4 linked regions of the Coturnix japonica genome follow. The protein of the gene in region 1 purifies or fractionates together with the protein of each later gene. This does not show direct contact. Links are inferred from orthologs where the notes say so. Each region holds a gene or a part of one and is shown in the gene's direction. Other genes may lie near its edges.

The links. The genes of interacting proteins can lie anywhere in the genome.
Region 2: the proteins of NIFK (region 1) and DDX24 purify together in Homo sapiens (affinity purification with mass spectrometry; 3 studies listed by BioGRID and IntAct, counting the BioPlex papers as one, with this or other methods). This does not show direct contact. The link is inferred for Coturnix japonica from reciprocal best matches to the Homo sapiens genes NIFK and DDX24.
Region 3: the proteins of NIFK (region 1) and RPL18A fractionate together in Homo sapiens (co-fractionation; 3 studies listed by BioGRID and IntAct, with this or other methods). This does not show direct contact. The link is inferred for Coturnix japonica from reciprocal best matches to the Homo sapiens genes NIFK and RPL18A.
Region 4: the proteins of NIFK (region 1) and FTSJ3 fractionate together in Homo sapiens (co-fractionation; 3 studies listed by BioGRID, with this or other methods). This does not show direct contact. The link is inferred for Coturnix japonica from reciprocal best matches to the Homo sapiens genes NIFK and FTSJ3.

The regions. Positions count from the first base shown.
Region 1 is NC_029522.1:20,722,783-20,727,293, forward strand, and holds NIFK (MKI67 FHA domain-interacting nucleolar phosphoprotein), read left to right. Parts: upstream 1-1,981; coding exon 1,982-2,098; intron 2,099-2,176; coding exon 2,177-2,302; intron 2,303-2,433; coding exon 2,434-2,542; intron 2,543-2,744; coding exon 2,745-2,956; intron 2,957-3,148; coding exon 3,149-3,226; intron 3,227-3,405; coding exon 3,406-3,582; downstream 3,583-4,511. Other genes in the region: TSN (translin), read right to left, coding at 35-150, 712-808, 1,470-1,587, 1,669-1,983.
Region 2 is NC_029520.1:41,192,182-41,197,260, reverse strand, and holds the start of DDX24 (ATP-dependent RNA helicase DDX24), read left to right. Parts: upstream 1-1,748; 5' UTR 1,749-1,891; intron 1,892-2,639; 5' UTR 2,640-2,656; coding exon 2,657-3,389; intron 3,390-5,079. UniProt on the Homo sapiens protein: ATP-dependent RNA helicase that plays a role in various aspects of RNA metabolism including pre-mRNA splicing and is thereby involved in different biological processes such as cell cycle regulation or innate immunity.
Region 3 is NC_029516.1:30,538,182-30,543,354, reverse strand, and holds RPL18A (60S ribosomal protein L18a), read left to right. Parts: upstream 1-1,842; 5' UTR 1,843-1,949; coding exon 1,950-1,967; intron 1,968-2,300; coding exon 2,301-2,480; intron 2,481-3,105; coding exon 3,106-3,235; intron 3,236-3,604; exon of another isoform or gene 3,605-3,736; intron 3,737-4,010; coding exon 4,011-4,120; intron 4,121-4,401; coding exon 4,402-4,494; 3' UTR 4,495-4,546; downstream 4,547-5,173.
Region 4 is NC_029542.1:1,243,139-1,248,370, reverse strand, and holds the start of FTSJ3 (pre-rRNA 2'-O-ribose RNA methyltransferase FTSJ3), read left to right. Parts: upstream 1-1,901; 5' UTR 1,902-2,017; coding exon 2,018-2,084; intron 2,085-2,158; coding exon 2,159-2,264; intron 2,265-3,247; coding exon 3,248-3,294; intron 3,295-3,373; coding exon 3,374-3,453; intron 3,454-3,679; coding exon 3,680-3,779; intron 3,780-3,904; coding exon 3,905-4,099; intron 4,100-4,189; coding exon 4,190-4,305; intron 4,306-5,089; coding exon 5,090-5,194; intron 5,195-5,232. Other genes in the region: PSMC5 (26S proteasome regulatory subunit 8), read right to left, coding at 977-1,048, 1,437-1,475.

The DNA.
Region 1 (4,511 bases):
CGTTCACAGGTCTTTTCTGTCACAACCAACTTACTCCCAAGTATTTCTGCAACAGCTTCTCGGGTCACCAACGTTTCTGTCTCCAAGTAGACGACAAACGCTGCCAGAAACACCAACCGCTGCAGCACGAACCTCCAGTGCTCGTGAAACCTGTTGAAGAAAACACCAAATCATGATAAAACAATAAGTAACGTCTATTACTGAGGAACGAGCATTTCAGACACCTGCAGTACAGGCCGTTTCCAACCTGTACACATCTCACTCTGTGAGGTTATTTGCTCACCAAACCACACTAAGCTTGAAATCCGCTCCTCGGTCCCCAGAACCACCCCCGAGCTGAGTGTCCTCCTTCCCCCTCGTCTCCCCGCAGCATTTCTGAGCTGACACCCCTGGCCTGTGATTTGTCCTTGCTACACACTGCCCCCTTCTGGCCACAAATCAAACAAAGGTGATGACTTCATTCATGATCTGCAGCATCAAACAGCTGTTTTGTGGCAGATTTAGACCTAACAGCTTAACTGCAATTAACGGAGCAGCGAATGCTTTCACAACCAAGGGATGCTACAACAGAACATCAATTTCTCACGATTTCCTTCCTAAGATCTCACACTTGCTCAGCACTTCTCAAGCAGATCCACTGGTTCTGTGAGCCTTTCAACCACACTTCTAAATCAGAGGTGCCACATACGCTTGCCCCATGCTCAGATCCACCTGTAATACTGATCTGCAGGAAACTTGGTCTTCAGAGATTCCATCTGTGTTCTTATTGTAGCGAAGTGTTCCCGAGCCTTCTGACATTTCTTTGGTACTGGAAAAGAAACAATGGTGACTAATTACTCGTGTGATAGAAGTTATGCTGTGGGTGAACCCAGCGTTTTGCATGGAACAGGGCTACAAATGTGTAACGATGAGGACAGATGAGAAGTGGAGGTGGGGAAAGGCTGAAAGGGGCATTGAGTGCAAGGTCAGACAGAGCCCATAATTTTCAGTTATCACACAGTTCTATGAAGGTACCTTGAGCCACCCCTTGCCCTTCCCTTTGGGGTTACAAATTGCCCTGCCTGGCTTAAATCCACTGAGTGCTTTTCACTGTGTCTCTGCCGTCTCCTCGAGTTTCCATCTCTCTGCAGCTGCTGATAAAGACTCATTACAAAGGCTGTAGCAGCAGGGAGCAGCGCTGCCACTTGTGATGGCCCGATAGAGATCACAGCACCCAGCACGGCTTCTTTTGGCAGCAGCACCACTTCAACCACACGGAAATACAGCTGCAGTCACCGAGTGCTACTATTTTCACAGCCACCTCTCGCCTTCAAGTAGCTATTAGTATTAAATAAAGCACAAATAATATATATTGGGATATAGTACAGGGCTGAACCCCTCGGTACTGCACAGCCCCGTGCCGTTTGGCCCCATATCGATTCCTGTGGTACCGCTGCACACGCCCCGTGTCAGTCCCCGCCCGCACTCACTGTCCTGGAAGCCGTTCCCTTGGTGCACCCCCTGCAGCAGCGTCAGCATCTCCCGGGCCGTCTGCTCCAGCGCCTGCACCACCTTCCTGATCTCCTGCGGGCACAGAGCACAGCCGTGCTGTACAGCCGTGCCCCACAGCCGTGCTGTACAGCTCCCAGACCCCAGACCCCAGCCCGTCCCGTCCCGTCCCGCTCCCACCTCTCTGATGTCCTGGTCGGCCGTGAGCGCGCCCTGCAGCGCCACGAACATGGCGCTCACTGACATGGCGCCGCACCGACACCGCCTCGGGCTGCCCCGAGCGATGCCTGATGAACAGCCCGGGGCTGAAGGGAGCAGCGCAGTGCGGGGAGCGGCCGGTGTCACGGCGCCGAGCGGCGATGGCTCCGCCCTGCGCTGTGCGGGCCGAGCGAACGGAGCTACAGGAGGCACCGGGACTGGGAGACGGCGGATGTGCAACGCTGCCGCCGCGAGGGGAGATGACGCAGTTCCGCCCGGCGCTGTGAGGAGCATCATGGCGGAGGCGGCCTCGTGCGGCGCGGCACCGCCGTCGTTCCTGTCCCTGGAGCCGCAGCTGCAGCGCGCGGTGCAGAACAAGGTGCGGCGTGTCCGCAGCAACAAGGCGGCGCAGGTGAGTGCGGCGCACGGACGGACCCGACCCGCTCCATCCCGCTCCGTTCCGTGGTGACGCGGGCGCTGTGTCCCGCAGGAGCGGCTGACCCCGGGCGTGGTGTACGTGGGGCACCTCCCGCGCGGGCTGTGCGAGCCGCAGCTCCGGGAATACTTCCAGCAGTTCGGAACCGTAACGAGAATGAGACTCTCACGGAGCAAGAAGGTGCGTAGTGATCGGCTGCTGTTCCCCGAGCGGGCACAGGGGGCTCCCGCTGCACGGCGGGTCTGGAATCACGAAGCGTTTTAATGTAGGTATCACAGCATTGTCTCAGGTCTCTGTGCTGTTGTTTGCAGACGGGAGGCAGCAAAGGCTACGCCTTCATCGAGTTCGAGTCTGACGACGTGGCCAAGATCGTGGCAGACACGATGAACAATTACCTGTTCTCTGAGAGGCTGCTCAAGTGTGAGTACGGCCCCGGGTCACGGTCTGTAATGAGCACAGCAAACCCACACACACTTGTGCTTCTGGGGGGGCCGCGTGAAGAATCTTGTGTCTTTATTGGTTTTCTTTGGCCCCAAGGGGTTTTCCTGTGTGTTACAGCGCCATAATGGTGCTCGGTGTGGCTGTGGGTGATGTTACAGTGTGATCCGTGCACATGATACAGGTCAGTTCATGCCTCCTGAAAGGGTCCACGCTGACCTCTTCAAAAACAGCCACCGCATGTTCCATAAGCCGTCCCAGCCGGCGGTGAAGCGCTACAACAAGGTCCGTTCCCTGGTTGAGAAGGCAAAGATGGCCAAGCGGCTGCTGCGGAAGGAGAACAATCTGCGGAAGAGACTGGCTGAAAAAGGGATCAAGTACAGCTTCCCTGGATTTGTGAGTCTGGGCTGGTTTCAATGGGTGATAGTCCCTTGTTTAGATTTGTAGGACACAGAAGAGCAACACGGGCCTTTCCCAAGCTCCAACCCGTGTGATTTGGGTGATTCCTGCAGCAAAGCTTTTGTAGTTATAAAGAACTATTCGTGTGGGAAGTTTGTAATGATTCTCCTCCTCTGTTTTGCTTCCTAGGCTGCACAGAGCCTTCCTGCCAAGTGGAAGAAAGCAAAAGCATCCAAGCCCAAGCAGAATGTTTCTCTGACCAGCCAGGTAAGACCAAACGGTGCTGCCACCCAGCACCACAATCCATCCATCCTGAGCCAGGCGGCTCAAGTCTGCAGTTGGAAGCTGTGAAGGCTGCACTGAGGTGCCTTGTGGTACCATGGAGGCAGTGATGACTTTCTCTGGCAGCTGCTTTGCAATGAATCGTGTTTTTCTGCTCTCTTCAGGATCCTACTCCGGTCTGTACTCCTACAGTGCTGCAGCGCAGGAAAGCTCACCAGGCGGATGATGACACAGAAGACAATGAAATAGTGATCAAACTGCCCCCTCCAAGCGCTAAGAAAACTGCGCAGAGACCAAAGAAGCAGCCAAGGAAAAAAAACAACTCAAAGAAACAAAAGTAGGCTTAAAGTTCTGATGGCCGTAGCCACGTTTTTCCTCTTCTTCAAATCAAAACAATGAGGTGGAGTTTCTGCTGCCCTGTCTCAGATTTTCTGACCGGGCTGCTTGTCTTTCATGGGCAGGGAAGTACTCAGCAGTAGTTCCCTGCTGCTGGCTGCTGGGAGCTCTGTCTTTGCCTGTGAAGATTGTCTTGGCTTTGCACTCAGAAGTGCCTACAGTCATGGCAGAGCCTTGTGATGGTTCTGTCATTTGTTTCTAGCACCCACAGGTTTGAAAGGAAATGTCAGGCTGTCCATGCTGATGGCGTCTGTATTTTATACTTATTCACGATGACTTAAAATACAGTTTTTAACTGTTCTTAGTTGCGTTGGCTTTGGTAATGCTTCTGTTTAACTGCGAGTCTGTGCTGTGTGTGATTTCTCACATAATTACACCAATAGAAGGGGAGACATTCCTTACATTTCATCTTGTTGGTGATCAGTCAGGTTTTCCCTGAGCTGTGTTGTGCAGAGCCAGGACACCATGCTGCCCCCTTGAGCCATCGGCTTTCAGCACTGCGGGGAATGTCACCCTTTGCCACAGTGTGGAATGGTCAATGGACTTAAAAAGGGTTCAGGAAGGTGAGAAGCAATGAAGGTGTATGTAATTATAATGGTATTCTCTCAGTGACTCAAATCACTTTCCTTTGCTGTCGGGGAGCTGTTGGGGAAGCCACTTGGGTGCGTTTGTCTTTCTATCAAACGCTTGTCACCTTAGGCATGCAATGGAGTTGCATTGACAGCCTGATGATCACCACCAGCCACTTTTTGAGGGGGGGAGCATCTGCTTATTGATGTGAAACAGGCAGTGTTTACACCTCAGACCCGTAGAACATCCATATGTCTGTAGTTAAGGTTTGCACTGTGCTTTGAGATTAATGTGATCACCATGG
Region 2 (5,079 bases), on another chromosome or scaffold:
ATACTGTAGAATACAGAAAGAAAAATCCAACATAAAATTCTCCCCCAGTTCGCAGTCTCTCTCTCTGAGCTATTATTTTTATTGTCTTAATGGATCTTGTCAGCTCTAGAATGATATTTTAGAACTTTTATATACAGAAGCAAAGGCCTTGAGTGCAAGGAAACCAAGATTTTATGTTCCCACCCCAAGACCCTGGCAACAGCCTCATCTGACATTCCAGCAAAGACAGAAGAGCCAATTCTACAGCCTGCAAGTCACAAGAGAACTCAATTACCCCACAGACCGGAGGCTACATGTCTGTCACGCAAAATGTGCCATAAGGCAGTACCCATATAAATCATGATACGGTGACATTCTTCTATTAGCTGTAGTGGCTAATAAGGTCAGTAGTTAAGCATACACTGATCCCAGTACCTGCTTAACTACTGATCTTCCTGCAAGAGAAAGAGAAAAATAAAAAATACACTAAGTCATTGCAGATTTGGTTACTCACTGAAAACCTACATCACTTGCTCAGATGCAGATTCAGCTGTACCTAGCCCTGAATTTGGCTACTGATCACTGATCCCAGAATTAAATGTACTGGAGGAAAACATCTCCGGCTTGACCTACTCTAGGAGAAGTCTTGTATATTTTACAAAGCATCAAAACATTATTCACAAAACATGTAATATCCAATGAGAACAATCCATGATCTCTGGGCTACTCATCTACAAAACTGTAAGCTTACAGTTGGGATAGACAGGATGATCTGTTGTCAGTTAAGTAATAAACACATCAAGCCTCCCTTGAACCCTCAGACATAGTTGGATTACATCATTTAGATATTACTGATAAAATGATCAAATATGCTTGCACAAATATGAGTCTTAAAAACATATAAGGGGCATGGTTCATAACTATTACTAATACTAGCTATTATCTCCAAATTACAATTTCCTGGTATTTATGTAACTGTTGATCTAATGAAGCCTTAGGATGAAAAGCAGATCTTCAGAAGCTTTGCTTCTCATTGTCATTTTAACCAACATCTCACTCTGCACTGTAGGTAACAGAACTGTATTTACCACCTGTGTAACAGCTAACTTTCCTGCAGGACACAAATGTGAGCATCTTGTAGAAAAAGCCTTATCACTAAGTACCAAAGCTGTGTCACTCTGAGGTTATACTAAGGAAGATTAATGTTACTGTAAAACTAAGCAAGCATTCAGTTTCCCCGGTTATGCCTTTCCAAAACAATTCAGAACCTTAATGCCTCTTACACAACAAGTTGATGCCATCAGCATCCCCAGTTCACCACACACAAATAAGGTTTGCAGGTTTAACTGTATCAAATCTTGCTTCCTGAACTTGAGGATTCCCATTGGTTCAAACTCACTTCTTACACAACATGAGGACGCAGCATCAAACTTCAATTGCTCTTAGGAGTATATGAATTGGAAGCAACTCCACGTGTGATGCATTAACAGATCTGCGTTAATGAGAATTACCTGGAACTGAAACTGCCCTTCAAATGACTTAGTGTTATTTTTGTCCTAGGCCTTAAATGGCAATTTTTCCCATTCTTTCTTTGTCAGGCCTGCACCATCTAATACCTGCAATAATGTAATGTATGCAAACAGCACCATAGCTCCCAGGGTACTCATAAAGGATAGAAGCGTTGCGTACCCTGCGCTAGGCACACTACGCAAACAGCGTAGCAAGCTCACGCAGGACCCAATTCCGCATGCGCACTACGCTCCTCCTCCCTCCATCCCCTGGGGCTCACTGCGGGCGCTGCGCAGTGACGTCACGCTGTAATGGCGGCGCCCACGGTGTGCACACGCGGCGTGGAGCGACGTTAACGGCAACCGAGAGCGAGCTTTGGTCGTGCCCTGACCCCGTGATTGTGGTGAGCTCTGGGCCTGGGGGGCACCTCGTTCAAGGCCAGGCCGGATGAGGCTCTGACCAACCTGATCTAGCTGTGGGTGTCCCTGTTTCCATTGCAGGGGAGTTGGACAAGATGACCTTTAAAGGGCTGTTCTGACTCTAAGGATTCTGTGATTTTATCCTTCCCCTCTGCTCTGTCCTGGTGAGGCCGCATCTGGAGCACCGTGCCCAGTTCTGGACTCCCCAGCTCAAAAGTAAACAGGGATCTCTTAGAGACAGACCAGCAGAAGGCCACAAAGACGATGCTCAAGAACATGATTTAGCCGAGGGTTGTTAGTTAAGGTAGTGTGATTAGGTTGTGGTTGGACTCAATGATCTTAAGGTCTTTTCCAACCTGAGTGATTCCGTGATTCTGTGATGAGAAGCTTGGAGCTGAGAGACCTGGGGCTGTTCAGCCTGGACAAGAGAAGATTAAGAGGGGACCTCACTGTTTATAAATATCTAAAGTGAAGGAGTCAAACAGATGGGGCCATATCTAGTAGAGGATGAAAAGGGAGGTGTTAAGTACTAATGGTGCTGAAACAAGAGCATGTTTTAGGGTTTTGTTTGTTTGTTTGTTTTTTAAGGTATGTTCAAGGCTTTTCACAGTCATAAGTGTTTTTTAAGAAAGGAAAATAATTATGCTTTTGGAATTCACTTCTTTTTAGCATTCTCAATGTAATCCTCATTCTTTTGATCTGATGCCCTGTTTTGTTTTTATTCTCTCACAGTGTTTTCGTAGGTAAAAATGAAGTTCAGAAAACGAAGATTTACATCTTCTGCTAAACTGAGGCAAAAGGGTATCGAAGTAGTGGGAAAATGGAAAGCTGTGGAAATTGACCCCAATCTACTTGCTGATGAGCAGTTTAAAGATGTCGTGTGCCTGGAGGAGCTTACGGAGTACAAGCTTGTAAGTTCAGACAAAGTGGGGAAAGGAAACAAGCAGAAGAGAAAGTCTGAGGATCTTTCAGAAGAAGAAAGCGAGGAGGAAGAAGAAGCTGTCACCCCTCCCAAAAAGAAAAAGAAGTGCAAAGATTTAAGAACCAGAGCAGATAAAAGCGATGATACCAATGCAACAGAAGTTGACGTGCAAGTTGGTGAGGAAAAAAGATGCAAAGAAATAGTCAAAGGGGCAAATCATAAGGTCAGTGCACATATAATTGAGAGCACGTCAAGCACAAAAAATGCTGCAAAGAAAAAAAAGAAGAAAGAGAAGGCAGTTAAAAATAAGACTTCTCAAGTTCAGGATGCTTTTCCACCAGTAACTACTTCAAAAAAGGTAAAAAATTGGACAACAGAAGTTTTGTCTACCTCAACTGATCACCAAGCTGATGTGTCTGCATGGAGAGACCTGTTTGTGCCTCAGCCAGTGCTGAAGGCCTTGAGTTCCCTGGGTTTTAGTGCTCCAACTCCTATTCAGGCATTAACTTTGCCTTCTGCCATCCGGGATAACATGGATGTTCTTGGTGCTGCAGAAACAGGTATGAATCTGTTAACCTGGTAGTACGTGCAGTGAGGTTTCTATTTCCCCTCTTCAAATGCAGCTTGTTAACGATTTCTATATGCAAGTTAAAGGCTTCTAGATTTTTCTTGTCCAATGAATTAGTAGTGGTTCATTGTAAGGATGGAATTATTCTGTGCTCATCGGTTACAAGGTTTTAATACTATACTTGGTAGACCGTGCAAAGCTTTGAAATCCTGATGAGTTTTTATGCTTTTGACAGAAGTCTCTTTTTTGCTATTTCTCATATTAGCTCTTATTTTAAGAACTGCAAAGTGACACACAACAAAGGGCAGAATGAAGTCAGGGCCATATTTTAACAGCCCAGTTTTAATGATGTCTCTGTGTCAAGGCAAAGCAAAGAACCAGGCTTCTCTGGGTATGATTTAGTACTGGTTTGAAGCAGCAAATAGGAAAGACCCTGTGCAGAGTATTATGCATTGTGAATATGGCCTGTGATACCATAACATTACTGTAGCAAAATAAGCTCACCAGGTGCCCTGTTTGAAGTATTACATTGCTCTACCAACTGTAGAGGTACAATCTCATGTCCAGGTTGGGACCACCTGGTACTTTTTTTCTTTGAGCACTGTTAGCTTTGTTTGCCATTTGTTATAGTTTCTGTTTTACCTAACAGTACTGTGAAGTCTGAGCTGCTCACACCTTAATTTTGTCTACTTTTACATTGCAACCTGGTTTTCCCCATAAGTAAAAATGGGAAGCACAAACACAAGGTGTGTTGGTTTAAAGGTTTCTTTCACTTTCTTCTCATCTACTCTAGTTCCCTCATCTCTCTGCTTGTCTTGTGAAGCCATTTTCTGCTCATAAGCATAGAGGCATAGTTACTAATTTAATGTGATATGCAGTCATTTGCATTTTTATTTTAATTAGAAGCCATGCTGGTCTTATTAGATTTTAATAAGATTGGAAAGATCCACAGGGAGTGTCTTTGAAAATGAAACTGAAAAATTAAATGGTGCTTTTGTGCTGCAAAAAGGTGCCATTTAGGTAGTGCACGAAAACAAATCCCTCTCATACCTAGCTGCAGAATAGAAATCACAGTTAATGGTTAGCTGTGCTCTCACTGTCCTAATATTGCATAACCCTGAGCTAGTTTGCTCATTTATTTTTCTCTTTTATGAGAGAAAGTCTGGTTCCCTCCTAAGAGCCCAATGGGTCATCAGCATTCCTGCAGAAACTTGAGAGATGTGAGCAATTGTCAAAGAGTTGCAGGTGGGAGAAACTGAAACACTCCTTTCTCACATCCTGCAGCTTCCCTCAGCATTGGGCCTGAGGAAGGACACTGATGGATGAAACAACTATTCTTCACTTTTTGTTAGCACCATAGGAGACCGTAGCAAGACGCTGATATGGCAGTGAATCCCTATGGGGACCAGACACAGAAAACATCAAGGTTTCTTACTTTTTGCAGTGAAGCTAACTAGTTCTGTTCATTACCATCTATTTATAGTTAAGAACTACTGAAGATTTTGAGTTAAGAAACCAAATTTTATCTGTAAAATCTCAGAATCTACAATCATGAAAAAGGATGTCCGTTAGTTTATGCTCTCAGATCTGAAGACACCAAGGTAGACTGTTCTGGCTTTGCAGATGTGATCTGCGTATCGTGAAGATAGCGTGTTCTGTGTGGTGATTATTTAATTTGTGAG
Region 3 (5,173 bases), on another chromosome or scaffold:
TTGTGAAGATCAGGTGTTTCTATAGGCCATTCTGCAACACACTGGATAAAAAAAGTGGGTAAAAAATCTTTGTTAAACAGCAAAAGAGACCGAAAATCCACCAGGCCATCAAAGCACGCGCCCACATGGTAACAGAGTCGCTCAGGCCCAAAGGAAGGACTGGTTACATAAGTACGTAGGAGGTAGGGGAAAGAAGGCACACAAGAGAAAGAGACAAAACGCAAAGGAACTGCTGGTTCAATCTGCCTGCAGGTAGAATGTCCCATTTCTGAGCATTACGTGCCCGGTGCAGGCGCTGCCTTCCACCCTCCCCCACTGGAAGAAAGGTGGCACAGTGACAGCCGAGGAAGCAAGCCTGAAAGGGACAGCTCAGCAATCAACGCGACTTCAGGCAGGTATTTCTGTAAGGTTCCTTACAGAATCACTGTAACTAAATGCAACACGAAGGACGGTTTAGTAAGGAGAATTTTTTACAAGTTCATACAAAATGGAAAGAAAATTGCAAACTGTGGCAGCAGAGGAACCAGAAAGTCTGGAACAAAGCGATGAGTTGTGGCAAAACAAGCTCTGTGCTCTGCATGACAACACTGAGCCGCCCGGCTGGGGGTCAGAACCTGCAGGGATTAAAGCTGCTCTAAACACGTTTCTCCCCCTGTACCCCCAGCTTGTTTTCCCCATAACCGACATCCAGAGCAGCCAGACAAGAACAAACACGAAAAATGGCTTCTTCCACTTGGGGTCTGGCCCACAGTTACACACGTAAAACTGTTTTAACATACACCAGCCTGTTTTTGGCTTATTCTTCCCGCTGATTATCACTAGAATCTCTGTCCCCATGTAGTAATCTCCTACACACTGCTGACAGGCCTCACTATTGAAAGTAACATGGCTCAGAGATGTGCTCCCTTCACATGTTCAGCTCACAGCAGAGCCAGTCAGCTCTGCTACCCCTGCATACCCCTCCAATATGCATACACAAGCATATTTAACATTTGATCTTCTAACATATACCCTGTTCTAAGAGTTCCAGCTTGACTAGCCCACTCAGAAGGCCATCAGTTACACCAGAAACAAATGCAGTCACAGCTGGGGTGAGGGAGGTGGACATATTATATGGTCAGAGATGTGCAGCACCACGCAGCAGGCAGAGCTGAGCCATAAAAGTGCTGAGAGCACACACTACAGGTGATGAGCAGCAGAACAATTAGAGATTAAAGCGCCTCATTTACACCATTCAATTGGGGGTATTTACAAGGTCGTGTCAGCAGGCAGAGCCTGAGGTTTCTCGCTAACCCTACGTGGTCCTTTCGGACCCAAAGCCTTTACGTCGGCTTCACACATGTCCGAGCAGTGCCGCAATGAGGGCAGCTCCCACAACTTCTCCGACAGCCTAGAAAGTTCCCCCCGTCCCAGCTTTCCCCTTCCCCCTCCAACGCCGCGGGTCCCTCCCGCACAGGGGCACAGCTCCAAGGGACCGGGGCCTCCTCCGCCGCCGGCCTCGGGAGCAACGCGGGGTGTCGGGGCCGCTCCCCGCAGCCGGGCAGGCAAAGAGGCGGAGGCCGCCGCCACCTCGGCCGCCCCCCCGCCCGCCAACGGCCCGTCGAGCTGCCCAGCTCCCGGCCGCCGTTACCTTCCCGGTCACTCCTCCATGGCGGCGGTGCCGGCTCCCGCCCCACAGCTGCGATGTCGCCACGAGCATAAGGGAGCGGGCCGGGCCGCGCAGGCCGCGCCGCCTCGGCTGGCGGCGGGAGGAGGAGAAGGAGAAGGAGGCGGCCCGAGAAGGCAGCCCAGGGGAGGGCGGAGACTGACAGCAGCCTCGGCCAACCGCACCAACGGCCGGGCGGGACAGCGGGCGGTGCTGCGGGGGGCGGGTGACGTGAGGCGGCCGCGTGCGGCCTTCCCTTCCCTTTCCGTTCCTTTCCTTTCCTGCGGGCGGCGGCGGCGGCAGCATGAAGGCGTCGGGCACCGTGAGTGCAGGCCTCGGAACGCGGCCGCGTCTCGCAGCAGGCACCGGGCCGGCACCGGGCCTTGGGAGCGCGGCGGGGACGGCTCGCGGAGCAGCTCCAGAGCGGGATCTGCGCCTCTGGGCGGCCCCGTTGGGCCCCGCAAGGAGGCGAGCGGCCAATATGGCGGCGGTGCTGCGGCACGACGCGTGAGGGGGGGAGGCGCCATTGGCCTGGCCGGCAGCCTCACAGGGCTCGGCTGCTCTTCGGGCTCCGTGCGGCTCCTCGCCGTTACGGCTACGGGTCTCTGCCCTGCGCCTCTCGCCGCTCGACTCACTGTGTTTCGTCCCCCTGCAGCTGCGGGAGTACAAGGTGGTCGGGCGCAGTCTGCCCACGCCGAAATGCAGGACTCCGCCGCTCTACAGGATGCGGATCTTCGCTCCAAACCACGTCGTTGCCAAGTCCCGGTTCTGGTATTTCGTGTCTCAGCTGAAGAAGATGAAAAAGTCTTCTGGAGAGATTGTGTACTGCGGTCAGGTGGGGGATGGCAAACACGATGATATGGGGGATTTTGAAGGGAATTTCATACATCTTTGTTGGCCCTGCCAGGCAGGGGGGTTGGAACTACGTGATCCTTGAGGTCCCTTCCAACCTGGGTCATTCTGTGATTCTCACTGGTATATATAAAGTTACTTGAAGCTCAGCTCACCATCCTAATGCTGTTGAGTTAACCACACATTCCTCTTGTCACAATGGCAGCGTATACCCATGGAGCTTAGAAAACAACAAATTGTCAAAAAAAAGCCCAAGATTAACTTTCTGGAACCATAATGACTTAAGTTCTTATTGTACTCTGTGCTGCTTTCTGGGCCTCACACTCATTTGTTGGGCTTATACCTCATAAGATTTATGTGGACATCCATAATCCTTGGAGAACATACACTTACATATCTTATTGAATGTCCTTTTCCATGTATTTCCTTACTGATGTAAAGCAGAATTAAGAAGTTGACAGAATTATTAGCTTGAATGCAACTGTGTTGGTGTGGGACGATATCTTCCCCTAAAACTTCCCATAGTGCTTTCATTAGAGCTTCACTATAGTTAAACTGAAATACTAATGATGTGTTTATCCTTTTTTTGCCCCCTTTTCTAATTCCAGGTGTATGAGAAGACCCCCCTACGGGTAAAGAACTTTGGGATTTGGCTGCGCTACGATTCTCGTAGTGGGACTCACAACATGTACAGAGAGTACAGGGATCTGACCACTGCTGGTGCCGTCACTCAGTGCTGTAAGTTCGTGTCACTGTTTGAGGTAGAACCTCTATAACCTTAAGTCTTAAACTGAGTCTTAGGTAAGAATGCTGCCTTAAACCACGAGGTAGAAAGAATGAAGCTCTAGGAAACTAAATCAGGAAGCTGCTGGAGGGGTCTGTAGGTGTGAGCTCACACTCATTGTAGCTGTGGTAATGATATAGGCTGGGTTTCTTTGCCTTTCAGGTGCTCTGGGTGGAGATGTTTGCCATATATAATGTTTCAGAATGGCCTTGTTGAAGGAATATTTCAGATCTCATATCTCAGTTTCTGTTATGTGAAGTACTCATGGAGCAGACCATCTATTATAGCTGATTCTGTCAATAGTTGTACTTGAAACTGTACAAAATGCACACAAAAACCCAAAGGATGTTGTTCTTCATAACAATATTCTTGTCGGGTGTGCAGATATTAAATGCATCTTGTCGCCTTTCTGGAGCTGAAGTGCTCTTGAAAGTGAAACTTGAGGTTCTACATGATCATAAATAGGGTGTTTTCTGTTAATTCATGCACTGAAAAGAGGCCTCAGGCTTAAGTTTGTCATAATGCAATGACTGATAGCGAAGTATCCTGTCGCGATCATTCAGGAATTCTAAGTATATTTGTCCATTAATAACACTTCAGTGCTGATTCTCCATCAGCTCCCTTGTTTTAAGAAGGTCAATCCCTTCTGGGTTATTTCTCTAAGTGCGTATCTTGAGCTCAGAATAAGCTGGTGTTCCTTTGGCGATGTTATGAGCTGTCTTGTTGCAGACCGTGATATGGGAGCCCGCCATCGTGCCCGTGCTCACTCCATTCAGATCATGAAGGTGGAGCAGATCGCTGCTAGCAAGTGCCGCCGGCCAGCGGTCAAGCAGTTCCATGTAAGTAACACTGCAGTGTCTGCTGGGCCCTGGGCTGATGGGAGGCTGCAGGGACAGGACAGAGCTGTGTGCCCCGGTTGCCGCATCGCAACACTGGTGCCCGGGTTCAAATCCCCCTGTGGTGCAAGTGGTAGAAGTGCCGCTCTGCTACACAGGAGGCTCGAATCCCGGGGGTTAGACTCGATGATCTCGAAGGTCCCTTCCAACCCGCACAAGACTGATACTGTTATGATGGTTGCTTTGTGGGCAAGAGTATCTCAACGCTGCTATTTTCCTTGCAGGATTCTAAGATCAAGTTCCCTCTGCCGCACAGAGTTCTGCGCCGTCAGCACAAGCCGCGTTTCACCACCAAGAGACCAAATACTTTCTTTTAAGTACAAAAGGTGCTGTCGGCTCGGTGTAATAAAGCTCTGTTGGAACCTTTCACTCCTGGGCCTCGTTGTGAGCTCTGTTCATTGCTAGGAAGCCCCTGTTGTCCTGTTTTCTATATATCTGTAGCCCAGCTGAAGGCTGTAGGGACAGATAGTGGCCATGGGAAGGTGGGGATGCTGCTGTTGTGGGGCGGCAGCAGGGAGAAGTGCCTGCTACTTTTAAGTAGGAGGGGGTGGGACAGGGCTCTGATGTTCCATAGGAGCTGCTACAGGCACTGCTGTGGGAGCAGCCTCCTTCCCATGGGGCTAGAAGCCCGTGTGTTGGGACAGCTAATAGAACAGTATACACAGAATCACAGAATGACCCGGGTTGGAAGGGGCCTCAAGGATCATGTAGTTCCAACCCCCTGCCTGGCAGGGCCACCAAACATAAACATTTACTAGATCAGTTGCCCAGGGCCCCGTCCAACCTGGCCTTGAAACCTCCAAGGACGGGGCCATCCACAGCCTCCCTGGGCAGGCCTGTTCCGGGCCTAACCACTCTCCTAGTGAAGAACTTCCCCCTAACATCCAACCTAAATCTTCCCTCTTTTAACTTCAAACCATTTCCCCGTTGTCCTGCTATTGTCGCGCCTTTCGAAGAGTTTTACTCCCCTCCTGGGTGTAAGTTCCCTCAGGTATT
Region 4 (5,232 bases), on another chromosome or scaffold:
CTCATTACAGCCTTCCACTATGTGTAAGGAGCTTAAAAGCAGGAGTTAGACTGACTTTGTGGTGTCTAATAAAGGCATGAGAAGGAGGAAGAACCTTAAACTACAAGAAGGAAAACTCAGACCGGTTGTTATGAAGAAACAATCTTCTCTGAGGGCTGTAAAGCCCCGAGGCGGCGGGTGGGAGGTACCCAAGGCCAGAAGCTGGTTAAGGACACACAACCCATGGCAGAAGGCTTTAAATGGGCGATGTTTAATGTCACAGAGAATCACAGAATGACCCGGGTTGGAAGGGATCTCAAGGATCATGTAGTTCCAACCCCCCTGCCTGGCAGGGCCACCAAACATACACCTTTACTACATCAGGTTGCCCAGGAGACTCCATAGATCCCCATAGAGACACCATAGACCCCATAGATCCCCATAGAGACCCCATAGAGACCCCATAGACCCCATAGATCCCCATAGAGACCCATACAGGCCCCATAGACCCCATATAGGCCCCATAGACCCCATACAGGCCCCATAGACCCCATATGGGCCCCATAGACCCCATACAGGCCCCACAACCCCATATAGGCCCCATAGACCCCATAGATCCCCATAGGCCCCATAGATCCCCATAGAGACCCCATAGAGACCCCATAGATCAGGTTGCCCAGGGCCCCGTCCAACCTGGCCTTGAACACCTCCAAGGACGGGGCATCCACAACCTCCCTGGGCAGCCTGTTCTAGGGCCTAACCACTCTCCTAGTGAAGAACTTCCCCCTAACATCCAACCTAAATCTTCCCTCTTTTAACTTAAAACCATTTCCCCGTGTCCTGCTATTGTCAGCCCTTTCCAAGAGTTTAAGGGAAGAGTAAGTTCCCTTCAGGTATTGAAAGGCTGCAATGAGGTCACCCCGCAACCTTCTCTTCTCCAGGCTGAACAAACCCAACTCTCTCAGTGTTTCCTCATAACAGCCGTGTCCCAGCTCACCTGCAGCTCCTCGATCTTGGACAGGTAATACTGCCGCAGCCCAGTGCCGCCCTTCCCATCGTCCATCTCCATCTGCAGAACATTATCATATCACAGTATCACAGTCTCGTGCGGGTTGGAAGGGACCTTAGAGATCATCGAGTCCAACCCCCGGGATTCGAGCCTGTAGCAGAGCGGCACTTCTACCACTTGCGCCACAGGGGGGATTCGAACCCGGGCCTCCGGTGTTGCCTCCACCGGGGCACACGTTAAGGTCGGATCAGCCCCATCCCAAGGCCTCGCCCCCCCCCCTTCCCTCCCCCCCCCCCCCCCCCCCACCCCGGGTCCCGCCGAGTCATAGCGCCCAGTAGGCCGCGATCGGCCCTATCCCCACACAGCCCCACAGCCGACACCAGGCCGGCCTAGCCCGCCTCACCCTTACCCCCCCAGCCGGCCGTGAGCACCGCCCGCCCGGCTCTACCTGCTCGGGACCGTCCACCGCCATCTTCTCTGCCGGCATCGAACCCCTATGGAACACTATTGCCGGCAATAAAGATGGCCGCCGCTCCACTTCCGCCGCGCGCAGGACGCGATGGCGTCACTTCCTGGACGTGAGTGAGCAGACAGCGCATGCGTACTGTGAAGCCTACAGATTGCGCATGCGTAGTTTTGTCCCGCGGTGCCAATGGGTAACGCGATAGTTCACGGTGCACATGCGAAGTACGAAGCGTGCCCGCCATATTGGTAAGGTCAATGACAGAGTCTTGATTTTATGGTGTGCAGAAAGACCGAAAGCAGAATATAACAACCCCTATGGAACGCAGTCAGCCATGCCAACTTACCCACCAATCTGTGTTTGTTATCTTGGCAGAGGATGCTGTAAAGCAGTTCGGGGCTCCACTCCCAAGATGGCGGCGAGAGCTGAACGGAAGCGGAAGTGAGGCGTGCCGCGCGGTGCACGACGGGACGGTGGTGTTGTGAGCACGTGGGGCAGCCGGGGCTGTTTCCCCCTTTGGCTCCGCGCAGTTCGCTGCCGTTAACGGACATTAAAGCAGCGGCAACATGGGCAAGAAAAGCAAAGTCGGGAAGAGCCGCAGGGACAAGTTCTACCACCTGGCCAAGGAGACGGGTGAGCATTGCATCCTATGGGCCCGGCTGGGCTGAGCTATGGCAGCTCCTGACCCTCATATCTGCCCTCCATAGGGTTCCGCTCCCGATCCGCCTTCAAACTGCTGCAGCTCAACAGGAAGTTCCAGTTCCTGCAGAAAGCGCGAGCGCTGCTCGACCTGTGTGCGGCACCGGGCGGGTGGTGAGTGACACGGGGTGCATTGATGGGCTGCGAGATCATGGCAACACAGAGCCATGCAATGCAATGCAATGCAATGCAAAGCAACGCAACACAATGCAACAATGCAAAGCAATACAATGAAATGCAAAGCAATGCAATGCAAAGCGACGCAACGCAATGCAATGCAGAGCAAAGCAATGCAAAGCAATGCAATGCAACAATGCAAAGCTATACAATGAAATGCAAAGCAATGCAATGCAAAGCGATGCAACGCACTGCAATACAATGCAACAATGCAAAGCAATACAATGCAGTGCAACGCAATGCAAAGCGACGCAACACAATGCAATGCAAAGCAACACAATGCAACAATGCAAAGCAATACAAAGCAGTGCAAAGCAACGCAATGCAAAGCAACACAATGCAATGCAATGCAGAGCAAAGCAATGCCGAGCAATGCAACGCAATGCAATACAATGCAACAATGCAAAGCAATACAGTGCAGTGCAAAGCAATGCAACGGTGCAAAGCAATACAATGCAATGGAGAGCAATGCAACGCAATGCAGAGCAGTGCAATGCAAAGCAACACAATGCAGAGCAATGCAACGCAATACAAAGCAATGCAAAGCAACGCAGTGCAAAGCAACACAATGCAATACAAGGCAATGCAAAGCAATGCAACGCAATGCAAAGCAATGCAATGCAATGCGATGCAAAGCAATGCAACACAATGCAATGCAATGCAAAGCAATGCAAAGCAAAGTAATGCAATGCAAAGCAATGCAATGCAAAGCAATGCAATGCAAAGTAACACAAAGCAAAGCAATGCAACGCAATGCAACACAAAGCAATGCAATGCAACGCAAAACAACGGAGAGCAATGCAAAGCAATGCAACACAATGCAAAGCAATGCAACGCAGCCCCTTTGCTTGCTGTTGTGGCAGCACTGATTGGGATTGAGGGCTCTTCTCAGTGCCTTTGGGCTTCTCTGTTCCTTACAGGCTGCAGGTGGCTTCCAAATTCATGCCAGTCTCCAGTTTGGTCATTGGTGAGTATTGAGGTGGTGGGTTGGGAGATGCCTTGGGATGGGATGGAGTGTATTACTGATGTGTGTTGTTCATATCAAGGGGTGGATCTGGTTCCTATCAAGCCCATTCCCAACGTTGTGACGCTGCAGGAGGACATCACCACTGAGAAATGCCGCCAGGTGAGGACTGGTGTCCTTTGCATTGAGTATCACTGCAGCTCTGTAAGGGATGGGGGTATCACCCTGCATGAATAGGACTCAATGAGGAGTGAAACCAGCAGCAGGGCTGAGCAGATCACTGTGTAGGGAGCTATGGATGCAGACTGGGGCGGTTGCTTGCTGGCTTATGCAAAACAACTTGTAACTTGTTGGCTCAAGCAGAACTAACACGAGTTCTGTCCTTCAGGCTCTGCGCAAGGAGCTGCAGACGTGGAAGGTGGACGTGGTGCTGAATGATGGAGCACCCAACGTGGGGGCCAGCTGGGTGCATGATGCCTATTCGCAAGGTGGGGGTCACCCAGAGCTGGTGCATGCTTGGAGAAGCTGGCGTAGCAATGTGCACTGTGAGACATGGAGCAGGTTGGTTGGGGACAGCACTAACTCTGATGACTGCTTTTCTCTACCGCTGCAGCCAACCTGACTCTCATGGCTCTGAAACTGGCCTGTGAGTTTCTCTGCAAAGGTGGATGGTTTATCACCAAGGTTTTTCGATCCCGGGACTACCAGCCTCTCCTCTGGATCTTCCAACAGTTCTTCCATAAAGTCCAGGCTACTAAACCACAAGCCTCACGCAATGAGTCTGCTGAGATCTTTGTGGTGTGCCAGGGTGAGTGGCTGTGCTGACTTCTTGTTGCTTCTTGTTGTATTAAATGGAGGCTTGGAGACACCCATTGGTCTCTAATTTCTCTCACTCCAGGTTATCAGGCTCCAGACAAAATTGACAGCAAGTTCTTTGACCCGAAATACGCCTTCAAGGAGGTGGAGGTTCACGCTAAGTCTGTTAGTGAGCTCATCAGCAAGAAAAAGCCAAAGGTATGAGGGGAGTTGTTTGTTGGGGTGGGCTGAGAGTTACTTATCATGGGGCTGTCCCATGTTAAGAGCCAAGGAAAGAGCCTCTGGCTCTACGTCTTTCCCTAGTCTTGCTTGTCCTGGCCAGCAATCTGATCTTCATGGGATAGGTGGACAAAGAAGCTTGTTTTTAGCTGCTAAGTCTGTGGAAAGCAGAGCTGGGTGGTTATAACAGACTTGCTGGCAGGTGAAGAGCTGCAGGAAGGTGGTAGCAGAGTGCTGGGCAGGCAACCAGTTTGTTTGTGGCCAAATAAATGAAAGGAGTTAGGGCTTGGGGCTAAAGAGAGTGTAATAGAAAGGTGTGGGGTATGAGGTGCTGGAATAGCCACTGTTAGGGGGGTTTATGCATTTAGATGGTGGTGCAGTGCTGGAGAAATGACAAGTTGTGAGGCTGAGAATGGGTCAGTAAAACTCCCTTTTGCAATAGCTGGCCTGTTGGTTTGTGAGTCATTGAGGTGCTTTTAGGACACACAACACTGAAAACTCTGCCAAGCAGCCTCAGCTGGACATGGAGCTTCACAAACCCTTATGTTATCACCTGTGTGCTAGGTGAGGCTGTAGGAGGCATCCTAGAGCTGTCCCCATTCTCAGCATGCAGGTAGGGGCTGTCCTTGTTCCTGGATTGCGTAGGCACGTTTATGTAGGCTGCTGCAACAACACATGAATGACATTGAATTGATAACATCTGGGAGATGGCTGAAGCTGCCTTGTGCCTTGCTGTAGCTTAAACAGTGCCTTCCTCCTGTAGGCAGAAGGATATGCAGATGGTGACACCACTCTCTACCACCGCTTCACCCTGATGGACTTCCTCAAGGCTCCCAACCCTGTGGACTTCCTCTCTAAGGCCAACGAGGTGAGAGGCTTTGGTGGCCCCAGAGATAGATCTGCATG